Schizosaccharomyces pombe: one gene and its partners. Changing the gene in region 4 together with the main gene of any one other region gives a genetic interaction. Each region holds a gene or a part of one and is shown on either strand. Other genes may lie near its edges. The genes, in order: lsd1, paf1, pku80 and set2.

Region 1 (5,419 bases), on a different chromosome or scaffold from region 4:
CAGCTTTATTGAAACATGAGTCGGGTAAAAATGAGAATCAAGTTAGAGTTTGTTTATACCATAAGCATTATTCGAGATGGTACTTGCCTTTCGATAAAGACGACGATAATCAGTTAGTGGAGGCGTATGCAAAATACTTTAGCAGTGAAAATCGACCATCTATTTTCTACGTTTTACAAGGAATTTCATTTGGACCTGAATGCGAATACGTTTTGCGCCGAAAGCATTGGTGGAATCCTTGGGCAGAAAAGGTGATGCGTAGAGAAATAGTTGAACGCAAGATTGATACACATCCTGGATGTCGTACAGTCGCAGAACGATATGAGCAGATAGAAGCAAGTGGAAGTGAAGAGTTATTAATTATACCGATATATAAAATAAATATGTGGGTTTTATCTCTTCTATTATTTAGCGCTGGCGGATCCGTACTTATTGGTCTATGGATGAGACTCTCTGACCCATCATTCGCACATGGAATGTTACTCAATTTGGGAATCGGAAGTATAGGTAGCTTCCTTTATCTACTCTCGAATACTTGGTGTAGATAAAGTGGCATTTAGTACCCACATTTCCCCATTGCTTGCTTTTTTACGGCAGAGAACATGAATAGACTCATTTATATAGATCTCCTCTTCCTTTTTAATAACATGTACATCTGTACCATCGATTGTCTTATATTCATTATTCCATTCAATAGGTGAAGAAGTAATTATGTGGCGCTCGACAAATTTAAGAATATTGTCCTGGGCTTGTTGCTCAGTAATATGAACTATGTCAGTGGATTTAACGGCAACTCCATTTTTGTATTCAATTGCCCAAGGTTTGACTTTACACTGTTGAAATGCAGCATCATTAGGGACCAAGACAGTGATATGCTGATCTTTTTGTTGGAAGAGATGAACATAATCAGGAAACTGCATTATAAGCTCAGAAAAAATGTTGCAATCTCTTGTTTCGGCAAGCAATTCAAAGAGCCTTGGTTCACGAACTTCTTGCATATTGATAGGTCTTTGGTTAAAAGAGAGTACTGCACTAATAAAACTCGTAGTATAAAGGAAACGAAAGATGTTTAGACAAAACAGCTTCATCATTTTGGAGGGTGTTATTAAAGACACACTGCTTTAACAAATGGTAATCTTAAAAAGAAAAAATCAATTGGCATCAATTAGAACTACTTAATTTTTTTCAAAAGTTAAATAATCCAATTTTGTAAACGTAAGCGACTTGGTAATAGAGGAAAAAAACGCCTGTTTTAACAAAAACAACGATTTGATGAACGGTAGATCTTTGGTTGTTGTTACGACATAACAATTTTTTTTTTTTTTTTTTTTTTAAACACGATTAAGAAGTTTTTAAAATTTAATACTTTTTTGTTTTCTTAGTTTTTCTTAAAAGTGATAGATATTTACCTAATTATAAACTATTGTTTTTTACACCATGTATGTAATTAGACACACTCTTAAACCCAACTGCTTTATGCAATTTGATTGTAGTTTATTATGTATAGAAGATACTTGTAGACGTTTGGTTAGATGGTAATCTTCATTATTTTCTGTCACCATTAGTTCCATAAACATTGTGTTCAAAAAATATGATTCAACCATAATACTATATCACATCGCATAACACAACCCATCACTTGTAATATTTATTAATGTTATTTTCTTAAGCTATTTTGCTATTGAAACAAAGTAATCTAATTTACGTGAGTACCCCAAAAAGTAGTCTCCTTATAAGTGGAGAGTGTACGCCTAACAGCGTCTTACCTAGCACACACTTTAACTTTGGCAATCCGATTTGCAACTCATGGACGAAAGCTTCTGTCTAATGATTATGTTGAAATGATGGATTTGTCTTCGAAAGATGCTCTTTCGGACGTTTTAAAAGATACGCACGCACAATCATCTGACCCTTCGTTGTGGGCCATATTTGGTCACCAATCTTCTGACAATGTACATGAAGGAGGTAACGAAAGTGTCTCCGTTGAGCAGGAAATATTTGATTTGAGTCAATTGAGTGAGAGACCCGTGTCTGAGACTGTTTCTAAAGCCTCTATTCCAACGAATATCAACGGTTTATCCCAAGTAAAGCCATCAGCTTTAGAAAAATCCCAGGAGGTGCTATCTTTGCAAAAATTACCTATAAAAGGGCGTAGACCTGCTGGTCGTAGAGGTCGACCAGCTCTAAATACTTCTAATTCTCTTGAAAGAAATGGTACGCGCTATGTTTCCGCGGAGGCTCCTATATCTGTTAAATCCAGCATCCCTGCCATACCGCGTGTCACTTTCGAGAGACTTTGCTATGAATCTGCTATAGCTAGTAATCTTCCACCAAATGCTCTCTCGCCTCTAGAAGCTGAGATGCTTTCTGAAATCCTTGAGAATCCGACATGGCTTTCTCTTTATTTAAGTATACGAAATGGCATTTGTTACCTTTGGCATAGAAACCCGACTCTTTATGTATCATTTAATGAAGCTCTTGGTATTGTTCGTGAAAAAAAAGCATTTCCACTGGCTTCTCTGGCATTTGAGTTTTTGTCTCGTAACGGTCACATAAACTATGGGTGTATATATATTATATCCTCCCTAAAATTAGATGAATCTCTTTCCCAAAAAACTGTTGCTATTATAGGCGCAGGCATGGCAGGAATATCTTGTGCTCGCCAGCTAACCAACCTATTTGCTCAATATGAGCAAGATTTCTTAAGCCGGGGAGAAAAACCTCCTCGCATAGTTATATACGAAGCTAGTGAACGTTTGGGTGGCCATATCTATACCCATATGGTTCCATTGAGTGATAATGAAGTTAGTGAAAAAAGTTCTCTAGCTACAACTGTGAATGCCACAAATGAATGTATGGTTAACTTATTGACCGATTCTTTAATCGGAATGCCCACGCTCGACAGTGACCCCTTATACATAATTTCCTCACAACAGCTTTCGTTAGATGCAGTACATACTAGAAATAGAGAGTTTATCTTACATGATATCGAAAATGGAAGAATTGATACCGAACATGTTCAACGTATTTTTCGTTTATTTGATGCTTTACTTTTTTATTTCAATGCTTCAGCTAGTAAACAGCCCCTTCATTCGTTGATTACTCCTCCTGAGCAAGAATTCATTCAAAAGCTTGACCAAATTGGTTGGTATATTTCAATTGAAGCCTTTCCTTTACAAATAAAGGACACTTTGTCTGAATTTCTTGGTAATTCGGCTAACACCCTCACTTCTTTATTGCATCTTACTGTTTTAGATTTAAAAATTTTTGAATGGTTTAAGGAATACCTTTCACAATCACTCTCTGTTTCTCTTGAAAATGTTTATCCGGGAAGCATTCCAAACCTGAATTTATTATTAGGTGAAAATGTCGCTTCATATTCCTTCAAACATGGAATGGCGGATATGCTAAACTCCCTTGCTTCAACACCTTCTCCACTTCCAATTCTTTTTGACCAGTGTGTCCATACTGTAAAGCTAGAAGATAATACGGTTAACTTATCATTTGTAAATGAAACAACAGTTTCAGTCGATAAAGTGGTTATATGTATACCTATGGACAAGCTGAATACCCATTTGATTACCTTCGAGCCGCCTCTCGAAGAAAAGAAGCTAAAGGCTATTGATAGATGTCATTTTACCAATGTGAAAAAGGTTATCCTCATTTTTAAAACCCAATTCTGGGAACCAAACATAAGTATATTTGGTTCACTACCACAAGATTCAGGTAGAAACTTTATATTTAACGATTGCACTCGATTTTACGAACATCCCACATTATCAGTCTTTGTGAAGGTTGAAGGGATCGACTTTATGAAGGATGATGATATAGTGAATGGGATTGTATCTCAACTTAAAAAAGTTTATAAACCGAAATCAGAAGCCATAAATCCTATTCGAACGATTATCAGTAACTGGGAGAATAATTCTTATACAAATCACTCATCATATCAAATATCCAATTTGTTTTTGGAAGAGGATTATGCAATATTGTCTGAGCCCATTGACAATACTGTGTTTTTTGCTAGTGAAGCAATTTCCCAAAAAAATTCAGGTTCGATACGCGGCGCATTTGATTCGGGCATACTGGCTGCTAGAGATGTTTTGGCTTCGTTAATAGGCAATGTTGTTTTACCTAACACTCTCGTTATTGAGGAAAACTTGGAACAACCCCGTAAAACGTACGGCACGAAGCGAAATGCTCAACAAGCTTTAGGCAAAGAGGGAGAAAGAGAAAATAAGGAAAAGCGCATTTCATACCATACCGAGTATTTACGCTTGAGACAAAAAAGACTTGATAAAGAACAGCAAGAATGTGATTTACTAATTGCCGAATTATTGGGACCGTCTCCTGTTCCACCATCAAGGCCTAGTGCTAATCCTTACCTTTTGTACCAAAAAACTCAATGGCACGTTTGTAAAACTCTAGCAGATCAGGATAAACAAAGAGTTACTGGCGATCCTGAAGCACGTGCCACAAAAAATGAGATACGTGCAAAATTGGGAAAGACATGGCGAGCCTTGGATAGTTTAGGTAAACAACCATGGGTTGATGAAATTAACGCGAGACGAGCAAATTATTCAACTCGCCTGGAAGAGTATCAACGTCAAATTAATTCCTACAATGTGAGAGTTGCCCAAATTAAATCCGAACATCAGCGAAGATGTGAATCTCAACCAATTCCTGAAGATGAGGCTAAGTTAAAATTACTTGCTGAACAAGAGGACGAACATCTACATCCTGAAAAAGAGGGCATGTCCGTTGAAAATAGTGATGATGATTATCATGATGATTTAGATTATGAGGATTCAATAAGTGAAGTATTCCCTGACAATTTCTCATGAGCTTCATTTAAAGTTTTTTTTTAAGGGTAGTTTATATGAGATAAAGATCAATTTTTACGTTTAAGTTATAATGGTATACTAAATTTTATTTTTTCATAGAAAGGAATGACATTTATGAAATGCATATCATCTTGTAAATCCACTTGTCGAAGCTTCCTAACCACCATAAACCCAATTCTCTACGATTTGCTTGGTTATCACATATATACGAGCTCTTTAGAGAAATACTAATATGTCAAAAAAATATGGCGGTCAAATTTCGTTTGATCCACCAGCTAGGTTGGAAAAAGATCAAGTCGTCGCCAAAGTTGTGCAACTTAAAGGATCTGCGCTTTTTATGGTAGTAGAAAACAATGGACAGGAATTACTTGTTGAGATGCCTCCAAAGTATCGTAATAAAATATGGGTTAGGAGAAATGGGTTTGTAATAGTTGATAAATCTGAGTTTTTAGAGAAGGACAATAAAATTGACGGTACTATATTGTACGTGGTACAAAGCCCTTTAAAAAATTGGAAAAAACAAATTTATTGGTAAGAAATTCTCTTGAAATAACATTAGATGATTGTGCTAACTA
Region 2 (3,902 bases), 3.7 Mb from region 4:
ACAAGTTTGCCGGCGTCGATATCCGTGTTCGTGTTTCTGGTGGTGGACATGTTTCTCAAATCTATGCTATCCGTCAAGCCATCTCCAAGGCCATCGTTGCTTACTACCAAAAGTTCGTTGATGAGCACTCTAAGGCTGAACTCAAGAAGGCTCTCATTACTTATGACCGTACTTTGTTAGTTGCTGATCCTCGTCGTATGGAGCCCAAGAAGGTTTGTTTATTATTGAATTTCAAGCAACTTTATTTAGTTTTGGACATAACGCATTTAAGCTTTTTTGTGCTTTGTCTACTGAAGCATTTGGTTGCCTGTCTATATTCACTGTGTTTTTGTATTTTTATACTAACTGTTTCTAGTTCGGTGGTCACGGTGCTCGTGCTCGTCAACAAAAATCTTACCGTTAAGAGAAAATATTATTGGTTTTCCAAAGCAACTGTCATTTAGTCGTAGAATTGTAAATTGTGTAAAATAGTCGAACTTCCACGCGTAATATGCAATATGAATTTTTATACGATAGTTTTACAACTTCTTTATGTATATAGTTTTATACAAAATTCATTTGCGAAGGTTAAAGTGTTATTTCATTGTTTTGTATATACAAGGGTATGCTGCATGAAAGACACGATTAGATCATTTATTTGTTTAGGATAATGTTTCATTTTCAAACATGAAACGATTAATCCTCTTCATTTTGTAGCTGTTCAACTGGCGAAGGCTGTGTATTCCCTTCTTCTACTGGTGGTGCAGGGGAATTTGCTTGCGACTCGGAAGCCGACATATTCTGAGCTTGTGTTTCAGGCTTAACTCCATTAGTTTGTTCAGCAGATTCTAGTTGTTCACGAGATTCCGCAGGTTTCTCTTCTTCAGAGAGTTCCTCATTGAGGCTGCCCTCGACACTTCTTAGTTTCTCCTCCTCTTCTTCTAAATCTTTTATGTTTCCTAAACCAAATGTATCATATCGGGCACGCTTCAGCTGCAACGATTCCTCGTCATTCAAATCACGAAGGCTCAACTCAATACCATCAACAGCATCAAGACTGACTGGAGCACGAACATGACGGCGCTTTAGGGTAGAACGAGCATAAATAGGTGTGTATAAAACTTGGTTAGCTTCAGGATGATCTTTATCTGTGTGAAACGTCAAACAAAGATCTTCAAGCCCTGTGCTATTGACATGCATAGAAGCATCAAAATTACGAAAGTGATTATAAACAAATGGTTCATGAACATCGGCAGAAGCATCATTAACTTTAGCTTGTATCTCTTCCGCTGTCTCTTCTGAAGGTAAGTAGTAGGATAAGAATTCCTCACCCTCTGCAGAAGAAGGCATGAATAGAGCGACTTCGTGACGTTTTGTGAGATTGTGCCCCTCTTGAAGATTAACCAAGGAACTATAAGAATGCGACCGTTCTGACAAATCGTCAGCAACGCGCAACATTAAATGTTGAATTCCTGCCATTGAAGTATTTGGCAACAAGTTCCAGGCTGATACGGGTTTTAAATCAGGCTTGGTAGGATGCTTCAATTGTTCTAACGGTTGTTGCACAACGTCGAAACTCTCATTAATAGCTTCAAGTTGTTTGGGAACCTCGCGAAGCGAACGGCCACGTTGTTCAGCCAATGCTTTACTAGTAGATGCTGTAAGTCGTAAATTTCCCCGATTGGAAGCAGCACGTGCCACTTCTGAAGATATGTACTCGGTGCGTCGCAAGAAAGGTACCTCAAGGTGCGTGGATCCAGAGCCTCCTGCAACTTTTAATAATGAACGGTCAATAGGATCCAAATTAACACTTGATAGATCCGAATGCATCCAGCTGGTATCTCCTTCAAAAAATCCAGTTATTCCGGCCAAATCAAGCGGCATTCCCAATTCAATATCATTTTCAATGGGAATCTTTTTTTCTTGAACTAAAGTTGATACAAAATTTGGTAAGGCATACTGCTTTACTGGATTAGGTATATTGATCAATTTTGGAGGAAACGGCGGAGGAGGAAGAGGGTTATGGTATCTAACCCTCAAAATATAATCTTGCCTCCTATTTTCCTGCTTGATTAGTCTGTTTTTCAAGTCTAGTTCTTACCATTGATGTGTTTTCCACAAATACCCAAGGAGATCACGTTCCCATATAACTTCCTAGCATCACCCTAAATTGGAAACGAGCGTCTAATCTTCGCACCGGTATGAAGTACGTTATAAATTGCTCATTTTCGTTAATTAATTAAAAGAAATCCATAGTACTGATGTTAGAAATGATAACGTGTAAGATCGCAATTCCCTAAAGCCGAGGATTCACTAATAGACGATTAATCATTTTTATTGTACGAATTCTAAAATCCCAGTATTTATGCATGCATCATTATGGATGTTAAGGATTTTGCGTCGATTGTATCACCTATTGAAATCGCCTTTTCTTTTAGCATTATACGATGTTCACTCACTGTAGTCCAATTTCATTATATCATTGTAACAAGTAAATTCGATGATTTTTTGGTAAGCAAATTTTCAACTATTTTGTATGTTGATTACTACAGATAAAATAACCCAACTAAATAAAAAGCAATCCAAAATTGATTAATGAATGCTTGCCTAATCTAGTTTATTAAAGAAATTTCATCGTTCTTGCTATACAGTCAATTTTGTTGAGATCTAAGAGACCATGAGCAAAAATTAAATTAAAAATTTGTAAAAAAAGAATACTAGCTAAAATCATTGAATAAAAGTGCTAATAAACACAACCAAATTCTTCTCAATTTTTACTTAATTTATAAAGACAGATAAATGTAGCAATGTAGAAGTTCATGGTCCAAGTTCTGAATTGTTTACGCATATCTTTATTTAATAGGTGAATGGACTGTTAGTTAATAAAGCCATAAACTGCTTGCATTCTCAGGGAGTTGCTTTACTATTACATATATGTATATATTTTTTATACAATTCGATAACTTATTTTATCAACGGTTTTCAACACTTGTTCATGTATATAACAATATAGACTTAACATCAATCCATCTCATAGCTGTTTGTACTTTAATAATTATTATTAAAATTTAAAAAATTAAAAGAACCAAGTACAGTGTAAATCTTGTACATGTGTCTTCTTTTTTCGTTTTACATCATTCATATTCCAATGTAGCTTCATTAGTTAATTCCCGTGTCTAATACAATTCAAGTTGAGTAATGTGTAATCTTTAACAAGAGAAAATAAAATACAAAAGTCCTTGAAACGTTAACATATGCCAATTGTTCTTACAGTAACAGTCATTGCACTCTTCACCCAGGAAACAATTCAAAGTAGAAAACAAAGAAGTGATTGAAAGTGAAAAAATACGAAATATAATCTGTGTCTCTTCACAAAAACATCACATCCAATTTAAACAACTCTAACTACAAACTGTAAGCTTTTAAAGTACATAGGATGTGGAGTCAAATAGAGTTTTCAAGTTGGCATTTTTCATACTTATTTAATTAGGCATGAATAAATGAGTTAAATTGTAATGTATCACTTTCTTCTTTTAAAATTCCTCTTTGTCGCAATTCATTCCTACCTACACACGCACATCCTTTAATCATGTCAAGTTTCGCAAAGTAACCAACACGACTTGGCCCAACTACACCGTAACGAAATTTCCTTTTCAAGCCCTGTGATTTAAAGCGATGGCTCCGAAAAGAAAACAACCCTACACGGAGGAGGGAATCGATTTTAAATTTACTCAATTTCAAATTGTTCCTCCTATCAATCAAAAGAACTTTTACACGTGTGTGCAATTCGCTTGTTTAGTCCTTAAATTAACCAAAATAGTGAATATCTCAAAAGGGATGACCAAATGTATATATGGCGAGACTCCGCTGGAGAGAAAGACGCTAAAGAAACAGAGTCGGAATCTGCTAATGGAGACACGAAG
Region 3 (4,823 bases), on a different chromosome or scaffold from region 4:
TGATAGCCTCTGCATATTTCTTTTCTTTATAGAAAGCGTTTCCTATAGCCTTTTGCTTTTCAGCTAGCTCAGCAGGCTCTTGTTGGCTCTCTGTACCTGCATTCATGTGTGTGGTTTCGACTTCAGTCATTTTGATCGAATTAATTTAAATATTTAAAAAATTTAAATTTTATTTAAAATGACAGAAAGTTCAGGAACGCTTTCCAATCGCCGAAGCGTAACAGATCAAAAAGTCAGTGGTAGGTAAATAGATACGACCAAACTATTAAATTTTAGTATCACTAATAAGGAACACTGCTGTAGCTCCTTAAGCATGTCCCCGATATTTGTCCAATTCGTGAAAGTAAGTCTAAAATGTTCTTTGAATAATGTAATTGTGAAAGATAGAATATAAATAAAAAAATGCAAGGAACTCTCACCAAGTTTTTAAACGATAGTTGTGTTTTCTGAAATATCATAGGTATGTTTACCTAAACTACTTAAGTTAAAACTATTTTCTATTTTTGCGACCGTGTATTCTATATGCTAATAAATAGCGGATTCATGACTTAAAAATTTTTATTAGAAATTTGGATAAAAGTAAAAAAAATATTGCAAGTATTTAATAAAATTTATTTATTTATGTTCGAGTAAGACAAGTCATTGTTGTCCTATGCTAAATGTTATTAAAATTATCATGTCTAGTCAATTCATCATGGAGAATAATATCTAATCCAGATGATCTTATTTTGTTAATAAGCTCATTCTCCTTGGGTTTGTTATTTTGCATTACGTCCTTTTTCAATCGAGTAAGATACTCATTAAATCTTTCAACTTCGTCTTCCAAAATTGAGTGTAACCTGAGAGATTGCAATGACTGCAAAGCAAGATCGTACTTAGACTTGTCAATAAGATTTTTAATTACTTTTTCCATTTCTGTCAAAGCATCCTCTAGTCCAAAAGGGTTTTTCAAAACTTCAGTGAAAGTGCCTACTGGGTCTTTTTCACTAACGTGAAGGACTAATAATTTTTCTCCTTCCTGTTCATCGAGACCAGAATTTAGTAGTTCTTCTATTTGTTCCTCTGATATTGGGGCGCCTGTGTCGAAGGCTGTTTCTTGAGAAGAATATTTTGGTTTGACGGGGACGTTCACTGTAAGTTTTTCCTTAATCAACTTCAAGTCCAAAATGCAATTATCAAGTAAACTTTTTGGAGGATTGGTGTAACGTGTTAAGTAAATATTTGGTTGAGGAAGATCGCCTTCTGGTGAATTTGCATAATAACTGATAGCTTGTTGAAGTCTATGTGGTATCATACTAAAGGTATTTTCGGGCTCAAAAGGAGGATTGAACCCACAATCAGAGGAATCTAAATCCATATTATCGATATAATTACTTACGGCAAAATCAATTTGTCGCATATCCTCTTCATTTGACAGTTTCTCGAACTCTGAGAAAGAATAAGGCCGAACATCTTCAGCGAATGGAAGTTGTATATCAACCAAGTAATGTCTTTTAAACTCCACGTAAGGCATCAAGACCAGCAAAACTGGTACGCCCTTATCTTTAGAAACAAACCTTGCGAGCGCATATCGGTGTTCACGTTCAAGGGATTGAACAAAGGCAGAAAAATTTAATTTGCTTTCGAAGTCATCTTTTGGAACGATTATATTAGTATCACTAATGGTATAATAAATTGGAAGACTAGATTTAGGAATAAATCCAAGGATTTCATAACCGGGTATTGTATCTAAAGCCAATACGTCTTCATCTGATCGGCTGATCGGGACGATTGTCCTACCATAACTATAACCGCTTTCCAAGTCTTCTCTTTTAACCTCAAAAGAATCGTTTGTTTTTGGATCACGAACCATGTACGATCGAACAGTAGACACTGCATCAGATTCCATACTTTTGTTTTCCACATTTGAATTTTCGATATTAAGACATTCATAATTTTTAGACATATCGTTTTCATAAAAAGCAGATGATGTTGGCGGTTTAGTTAAACGAGTTCTAGGATATCTTTCAACCTGTATGCTTATAGACGTATCTTTGCTGTCTCTATTACCAATACTAAATGTACCTCTAAAGATTGCGACAGGTCTCACTTTACGAACCCAAGGTTTACCGATGTTGTTATAAATCTGTTGAAATGTGCAGTACTGACCATGACAACTCTCAACAAACTCTTGAATTCGAACTTCGTTTTCCTTTTTCTGAGATTCCTTTAAAGGCTCAGAATAATTAATATCTTCTTGATCAAAATCAACTCCATAAACACCTAGAAAAACATCATGCTGCAGTAGTTGTTCGGCAATTCCAATGTAATCACTAAAGTCGATAATCCCCCTAGCTGCCGTAAGCACTATCATCTTCTTCTTCCATTTGTTCTTTTTACAATGCCGAGCCATCAAATCAAAGGACACAACTATTGCAGATATCAGATCGCCTTGCATAGTATTGCTTGGTTTTAACGTTTGAGAAACGGATTGTAGCTTTGAAAATAAGGCACTAGTTAAGAAGTTAATGGAGCATTTAAGAGAAAGCTTACGTTTGTATAGGATACAAAACACTGATATTCCAATAGGCTTCCTGCTCAGCTAAATCATTTTTCGTATCTAAACACCGTAAAAGTTAGAAGTAGTGTACCTTTAAAACATTACAATAGAATACCATCGCATTTGTAACCAACGATTCCAACTACGTCTGTCTTCCTATTTGCTAAAAACTGAGTATGTGTCAATAGGGTGTCGATAATGTTGAGCAAAATACCTTATGAGACAATTCGTCGTGAAAATACGACAAAGTCCATTCGAGATCAGAATGAGACCTGCCATGGTGACAGGTCCCCATATCTTTGCCCAAGTCAAGTACAAAAACAGTACATTCCTTATCACTCATACGAATTGTTAAGGAATACAGATTTGGTGGAGGTCAAAGCAAGGTGAGATTTGTTGTAGAACATTGGGGCCTCCGATGCTTTCAACAGTTAGATATCAATTACACGGTCATTTTAAATGATTCAGGTATTTTCTTCGCGGTATGAATATACTACATTAACAGTAAGTCCAGCAGCATATGTGCAAATGCACATGTGACTGAAATGTAAATAACCCAAAACATTGTATATAAATTAGTCAATTCATTTTTATAACTTAAATCAGAAACTCTTGAGAATTGAATTGGAGCTATTAAAGTTGCTAAGGTTTTACGCACATTAGAAATTTTGCATAGCGATGCTTTTACTTTCAATTCACACATTAATTTACAAAGCCGTGAACTCATATCTCAAGATGTCAATAATTAGTTAACATTCAGTTTAACTATTCATGTTAGATCTTATTAGTTTTGTACTAGGCGATTAAAACACCGAGCTGCCAGATGCATATCGCTCACAAATCTTTCGTACTACACGCAAATTACCAGAAAACGATACCACCCCCTTGAGGTATAATGTTTAAGGTGATATTTGGTTTTCTGTTGTGAAAAATATATTAAAAAACACACATATGTACTTCAATTATCGAACATACACATTTATACTTTGTTTTAAAACGCCAAAATGGTACGCTTAACTCCTCGATTAGTAGCCATTTTCCTTGTTGAAAAAACAACATCAGGAGCTAATTTCGTCTTTCACTGGCCGCTACAACCTCAAGTACGTCTACAAGCCACTCATCATAATAATGATTCAGCGGAGTCTGCAATCGGGATGCTCGACCTTGATGACAGCGATGATGATGAGAATAATAGGTTTACTGAAGTAGCTGACGATACACATGTACTTGGTTATGAAAAAGGCTTTCTCGCAAATATGCTAAGTCCTCGTATTGAACTTTGCAATCAAAAATTTGAAATTTGGGTGGATGGTCTTACTTTTTTGGGATGTCCTGTTCATATTGGTCCGAACGGTGAGTGGGCTAAACGAAGGAAACCACGAACTACTGTTGAGTCTAATGCTTCTTCGAGCCATTTGGTATCAAAGCCCGAATCTTCACACCCTTCGACAGGAAGTTTTGAAGTAAAATCATCTTCATCAAAATCGAGATCTTCAATGTCTTTATTTCATGTCGTCTTTGTATTAAATGTGCCTACAGCTACCGTATATCGCCCTACTGTAAACACGATGTATGATCATATAGTAGTCAAGTTAGTTACTGGACTTAAATATGAACAAGCAAAACGGAATTATGTTGAAAATGAGTGTATACACATCTTAAAACTGACTGAAAAATATTCAAGCCAAAACGTCCCATTCGATGTGTATGCCGCTCAAATCCCTCATCACTCAAATCTTGCTTCGGTTCTTGCTACTACATATGAGGCTTTAATTAACATGCATACGGCTTATTTAGAGATAAATCAATCGATTAACTTAAGCTTACTCTGGCCTATGTCGGTTTCCACCAACACACTTGAAAATTACGAACTGCAGGTTAGACCATCAACTATTTTAGCATCTCAAACCATCTTCTCTGAAGAACATCCTTCCTCTATTGAACCTTTCGTTGCCCCCTATTGGACTTTGTTGCTCTTAAAGGATACAGACACTATAATGAAACGTGTTCCTCTTTTACAAAATTCTCTTCTTTCTTCTTTCATTGCCATAGTAAAACCTAACTTAACGTAAGTTTTGTCAAGTCTAAACAAAATTTATTATTGCTATTAAATACTAACTTACAATATTTCAGGTTCACAGATATCGCTAATCGTCTAGGAATATCAGTATCAGAATGCTTTATTCTAGCAAAACACCTTATTCATTGGAGAAAGGCTATCGCTATTCCTCCTTTGTTAATCCGGAATACTTATGTTACATCCCCAACTGCTAATCTGTTTAAT
Region 4 (4,979 bases):
AATTAGTCAACGTCGAGATATGGTTACAGAATGGCAAACACGGCCCGAACTCTTTGTATTTCTACTTTCAACAAGGGCAGGTGGTTTGGGTATTAACTTAACTGCCGCTGATACTGTTATTTTTTATGATTCAGACTGGAATCCTAGTATTGATAGTCAAGCCATGGATCGAGCTCATCGTATCGGTCAGCAAAAACAAGTCACCGTTTACAGATTTATTACTCGTGGAACCATTGAAGAACGGATTGTTATACGTGCTAAAGAAAAGGAGGAAGTACAAAAAGTGGTTATTTCAGGTGGAGAAACTCGGCCAACTAAACAAATGGACCTTAAGGGTAACTCAAGAGAAATGGTTTCATGGCTATTAGAAGAATAAATGGTGTGTGTATAGCTAAAGTTTCGTTAACCCGTTTTATTAAAAATTACTTAACCTAATAGTACATCAATTTTTGCATGGAATTTAATTAGCTAAATATTAACCTATTAATCAAAATGCTATACCGGTCCAGTCCAGGGTTATATAATTAGATGAAATGTTGTAAACAGTCGACGTGCATTTAGACACAAATACGGCTTCTATGTCTGGAAATTAAAGATTGTATTTAAAAAAAAAAATAGTATTAAAATATTACATCAAGGAAGAAAAAAAAAACTAGACACCAGGTATTAAAGACATGCAATATTTGGAACTATAGTATGGTAGACGTTGCTACTTGTCGCAGTTAAAAATACTGGCGATTAAGCAGCTTTTTTCGGGGATTCGCCAATACTGGGTGAATCTGTAGGAGTTGTAGTCGCAGTGCCAGAACGCGATACAACTGTGTCCAAATATCGAAATGCCCAAACTCTCAGCTTTCGCTGCTGAGAGTCTGATAATTCATCTGGTAAAGCTTTTTCTTTTTTGGATAGAACTAACTGAATATGCTTTTTCAAGATAATTTCAGTCATTTTCTTTACTCTCAATTTAAATTCAGCTTTACCAAGCTTCTCTTGGTATCTAGCTGTTTTGTTAGCAAAAAATTTTGCCAAAACTGCCTTAAAAGCAATGCTTTCAGGACTATGCGAAGTTAAATGATGATCAATTGTGGCATCCTGAGAGCTTTTCGTCTTCTTTTCATGCAACTTTTTGGCATGTCTTTTCAAACTTTCTTCGTAAGCAAGACGTCTCTTTTCTTCTCTTTTCTGCTGAGCTATTCTTTCTTCTTCCTCCTTCTGTGCCTTCAACACATTTTTCTGATTGACACTCTCCATTGCCGCTGAAATAATCTTGTTTAAATCTACTTTATTAGCTTGATTGCTGACTTGTTCTTGCTCATTATTTGGTGTAGTTGTTTCAGAAGGAGTGTCAGAGTTAGAAAGACGACGACGTTTAGGGAAAGAATTTTTACGAAAAAGGTTGTGTTTTGAATGGCTTTGATAGTCATTTCCAAACTTGGAACGTGAACGACTATCACTAGGCCTAGAAGAATGTAATGCTGGATGTTTCTTGCTCAAATCTTCTGTTGAATTATTGATTGCAGATTTTATATCTCCCTTATCGCCACGTTGTGGTTCCTGATCCCTTAAAGGAGGATTACTTTGATTATTGGAGGGTTCTGCGTTCGTTGACTGTGGAGCAACTTGACCAGGCTTCCTTCGGGGAATTCGATAAGCTATCTCCAAAGATTCCCATTCTTTTAAAAGAGTTTTGGCATGATCTTTGACCTCCTCGTTCTCATGGTCGCAAAACTCTTGAACAACGGGCTCAATATTTGAATCTTGGATTTTATTTCTTGTTAGGCGTGGCCAAGATAACATGGTTTTTATAGAACGTAGTATAAACTCAATATCAATGCTGAACTTCTTCAGCATCAAACCAAAAATGTTGTAACCACGTAACGCAATGATCGAACGGCATACACTAGGATCTGAAGTCAAGAAAATGCGTTCCATTAACTTTCTTGTTAATAAGTCATCCTTAGTTTGCAGGAGAACGCCAATCACTTTAGTAGCAGACTCAGATGTCAGAGGAGTAGGTTGCACCTCTTCAATAATTTTGCTAGTTTCGTCAATTCCCTTTTTACGACGTTGTCGACGTGCAGTGATGTTTTCCCAGCTATCCTCTTCATCTTCAATACCAAGAGCCTCTCGGACATTCTCAGGTAGTTTCGATTGAGCCTCAGTTTGCGTCTTTCCGCCAATATACCCTACACAGCAAGGTTCTCCGCAATAACAAGGTTGGGCTTGTGCACCATATCTATCGACATTATAGTCAAAAGTAAGCTCTTCACCGCGAATAATATCTCTTTTACAAAATATACCCATTCTTAGCTTATCTCCTACCATCCATTTATCAACATAACAATTAGGTCTACAAGAGTGATTGCAAAATCTTGCGAGCGACCCCCTTTTAGTAGCATCAATATATTCCCCCTTTTGCAGCATCATGAAGTAAAAGTGTTTAATTCCCTCACTATCGTATTGTCGCATACGTTTACGAAACTTTTGTTCAGGTATAACTTCTCCAATGTATTCGTAGACAAATGTGTCTTTGGGTAAATTGGCATCAGCGCGCAAACCAAACCCTTTCTTTTCGGTTAAGAAAACATCCACCTTTGCAAATTCATGTCTTTGAAAGCGTTGGTTTTGACAGGATGGTCCACAAACGTTATCTTCGTCCGTACACTCTATAGAAGTCATTCTATTAATACAATTGGATCCGTGCCCACAAGCAACATTAACTCCATCTACCCAATGAGGCCGACAATCGCAAATCATAGCTTCGTTTTCTGGAGGCTTACCAATATTGGCGGAAGCATACTGACATTCTTGAATCTCTTCGAACGTAGTTAGCGCCTTATCTTTCGCAGAATCCAGGTGATGAAAAAGTTGAGGAGGAAGTGCCTCTTTTCTAACATATTTGCTTTGAGACCGAGAGGATGCAGACGATGGCGAGGACGTAGAAGGGGAAGGAGCACTTTCGTCTTTATTCATCCCTTCGGCATCCTCTTTACTTTCGAAATCATGAGATGACGAAGAAGATGGTGATGAACCGACTGCCTGGACAGCGATTGTGTCTTTTGACCAAGAAGACTTCCTATCAACGTTTTCCTCATTCAAAGGAGTTAAAACAGAAAGAGATGATGCCGTCTGCATTGTATGATAATGGACAAAAAGAAAGAGAAAGTTAAAAAATCTACAGTTTTATTGAACAAAAAGTAATTGCCGAAGGAAGCCAAAACAATAGAAAGAAGACCAGCTGAAATTTCACCGAAAATCTTCTTTTTAGAAAATTTCCGAAAATATCTCGATGCGTAACATATAGATCTTCTAACGTTTCAAAGTTTCGTGTCAAAGAAACAGTGAGATCAGGAAATTGTCTCAAGGAAGAAGTTGTGGCTGTTGGCGGCGTTCCTTCTTTACTCGCGGAATCCTCGTAGGGGCTCACAGTACCGGAGTGTAAACGACAACTCTTGACTTTAGTGTTAAATATTAAAGAAACCTATTAAAAGAAAAGGCTTTAAAATCTTTACTTTCATTTCATTCAAGCATCTACAAAAAATCACCATCACGCGCAACATTTGAATGCCATTCTTTTCCAGAAATTCCATAATAGTTGTTGAAGAAATAACACTGTTAGTGTAATAAAATTCACTCTGTTTTTTACACTCGGCGCCTTATGTAGCGAATATCTTTGAATTAATAATATCAATCATACTATGTAACTGTAGTAGGTTGTTTATCCAAAAAACATATGGTACGCAAAGATAGACACTAATTATCAACAATGAATGAATAAGAAAAGCTTTTTCAACGAATATTTTGAGTGAGGCAGTCAGCGTGCTCATACTGGATAGACCCAGAACAAGTAAGTTTACAATATGTTCAATTTACAAATCCAAGCATGTGGTATTGAATTATATTTGGTATTCTTTTTGTTCCCTTGGTCTTATTAATGTAAAATCATCATCTACCTGCATCTATTGAAGCAGTAATTAAACAGAAGTTTGAGAATCGGTAAAGAAAGAAACTAGGAATGTATGTAATAAAGTCATTTTATTTTGAAAATGCTCATCCTGTTAATTCTAGGTAGATTCTTTATTTCTTCAAACCCAACCACTTTTGTTAATATTGTTTAAACACATAATATATACATTGGCGAAATTGAAATAATGCTAAAATTTTGTCAGAGCATTAGTCATTGTTAATTTTAAAAAGCTATTAAACAAAAATAAAGGCTAAGAAAAAAAGATAAACCTATTCCATATGTTTATATATGTGTATCTTATCTTAAAAGGTCTTTAACTCAAGCTATACTTACTACAATCTATATGCAGCTACTTGTCCTTCATGGCACGACGGTGCCAGTAAAGTTAATAAGAAAACCATACCGAACAGGGGCCAAGTTACGATGAGACAACATGTGAAGAACAAAGGAAGAAGCGATTTCAAGCTTTGCAAAAGGTTTGACCAAATTTAACGAACAAACGTTTCAGCTGTTACCTTGAAAGCAGTTGGCAATAAAAGAGAAAGCGAATTTAATTGCTTTAAATGTTTTACTTTAACTCTTAGATATAAAGAGTGCGGAAAAAGTGGCAGAACCACAAGAAAACAAGATCTCAATCGCAAAAGCAATAAAACTGCAATTCCAAATTTTGTAGATTTTCTACCATTTATGAATAACGTGGGTTAGTGAAATGTAAAGAGATCCGTGTTCGATAGGCATTCCCCAGACAAATTTGACTGCTTTAAACGTCACAAAGCCGAGTAGCAAACGCTCCCACAACCAAACACTACACAAAGGTTCGTCGACAATTTATTTTGGAAAAAATGCACAGCAGCAAGCGAGTTATGACCACAAAGACTCATGTTGAGCAGCCTGAGTCTTCAATGCGTCCTCAGCTTCCCGAAAGCATTCAAGGCTCCTTAATGGACGTGGGAATGCGGGTTCGTAAATCAATTTCCACCGGATACAAGTCGAAACAAACCACGTTTCCTGC

Evidence for each region.
Region 1: mutations in set2 (region 4) and lsd1 impair growth when combined (synthetic growth defect), as found in Schizosaccharomyces pombe (one study listed by BioGRID).
Region 2: of set2 (region 4) and paf1, changing one enhances a phenotype caused by changing the other (phenotypic enhancement), as found in Schizosaccharomyces pombe (one study listed by BioGRID).
Region 3: mutations in set2 (region 4) and pku80 impair growth when combined (synthetic growth defect), as found in Schizosaccharomyces pombe (one study listed by BioGRID).

The regions. Positions count from the first base shown.
Region 1 is NC_003423.3:1,015,425-1,020,843, reverse strand, and holds lsd1 (histone demethylase SWIRM1), read left to right. Parts: upstream 1-1,602; 5' UTR 1,603-1,841; coding exon 1,842-4,844; 3' UTR 4,845-4,908; downstream 4,909-5,419. Other genes in the region: protein mug97, read left to right, coding at 1-548; protein mug57, read right to left, coding at 522-1,091; tif1102 (translation initiation factor eIF1A-like), read left to right, coding at 5,077-5,375. UniProt on the Schizosaccharomyces pombe protein: Catalytic component of the SWM histone demethylase complex that specifically demethylates H3K9me2, a specific tag for epigenetic transcriptional activation, thereby acting as a corepressor.
Region 2 is NC_003424.3:1,707,003-1,710,904, reverse strand, and holds paf1 (RNA polymerase II-associated Paf1 complex protein), read right to left. Parts: upstream 2,124-3,902; 5' UTR 2,084-2,123; coding exon 2,081-2,083; exon of another isoform or gene 2,044-2,080; coding exon 676-2,043; 3' UTR 558-675; downstream 1-557. Other genes in the region: rps1602 (40S ribosomal protein uS9), read left to right, coding at 1-212, 356-403; Ino80 complex actin-like protein Arp8, read left to right, coding at 3,655-3,755, 3,800-3,902.
Region 3 is NC_003423.3:4,302,486-4,307,308, forward strand, and holds pku80 (Ku domain protein Pku80 ), read right to left. Parts: upstream 2,918-4,823; 5' UTR 2,883-2,917; coding exon 2,754-2,882; intron 2,710-2,753; coding exon 2,655-2,709; intron 2,600-2,654; coding exon 2,533-2,599; intron 2,493-2,532; coding exon 656-2,492; 3' UTR 538-655; downstream 1-537. Other genes in the region: SPOM_SPBC543.02C (TPR domain protein, DNAJC7 family), read right to left, coding at 1-130; Npr2/3 complex subunit Npr3, read left to right, coding at 3,544-4,607, 4,673-4,823. UniProt on the Schizosaccharomyces pombe protein: Single-stranded DNA-dependent ATP-dependent helicase. Involved in non-homologous end joining (NHEJ) DNA double strand break repair. DNA-binding is sequence-independent but has a high affinity to nicks in double-stranded DNA and to the ends of duplex DNA.
Region 4 is NC_003424.3:5,407,680-5,412,658, forward strand, and holds set2 (histone lysine H3-K36 methyltransferase Set2), read right to left. Parts: upstream 3,387-4,979; 5' UTR 3,136-3,386; coding exon 739-3,135; 3' UTR 501-738; downstream 1-500. Other genes in the region: SNF2 family ATP-dependent chromatin remodeller Ino80, read left to right, coding at 1-376; spd1 (ribonucleotide reductase (RNR) inhibitor), read left to right, coding at 4,810-4,979. UniProt on the Schizosaccharomyces pombe protein: Histone methyltransferase that trimethylates histone H3 'Lys-36' forming H3K36me3. Involved in transcription elongation as well as in transcription repression.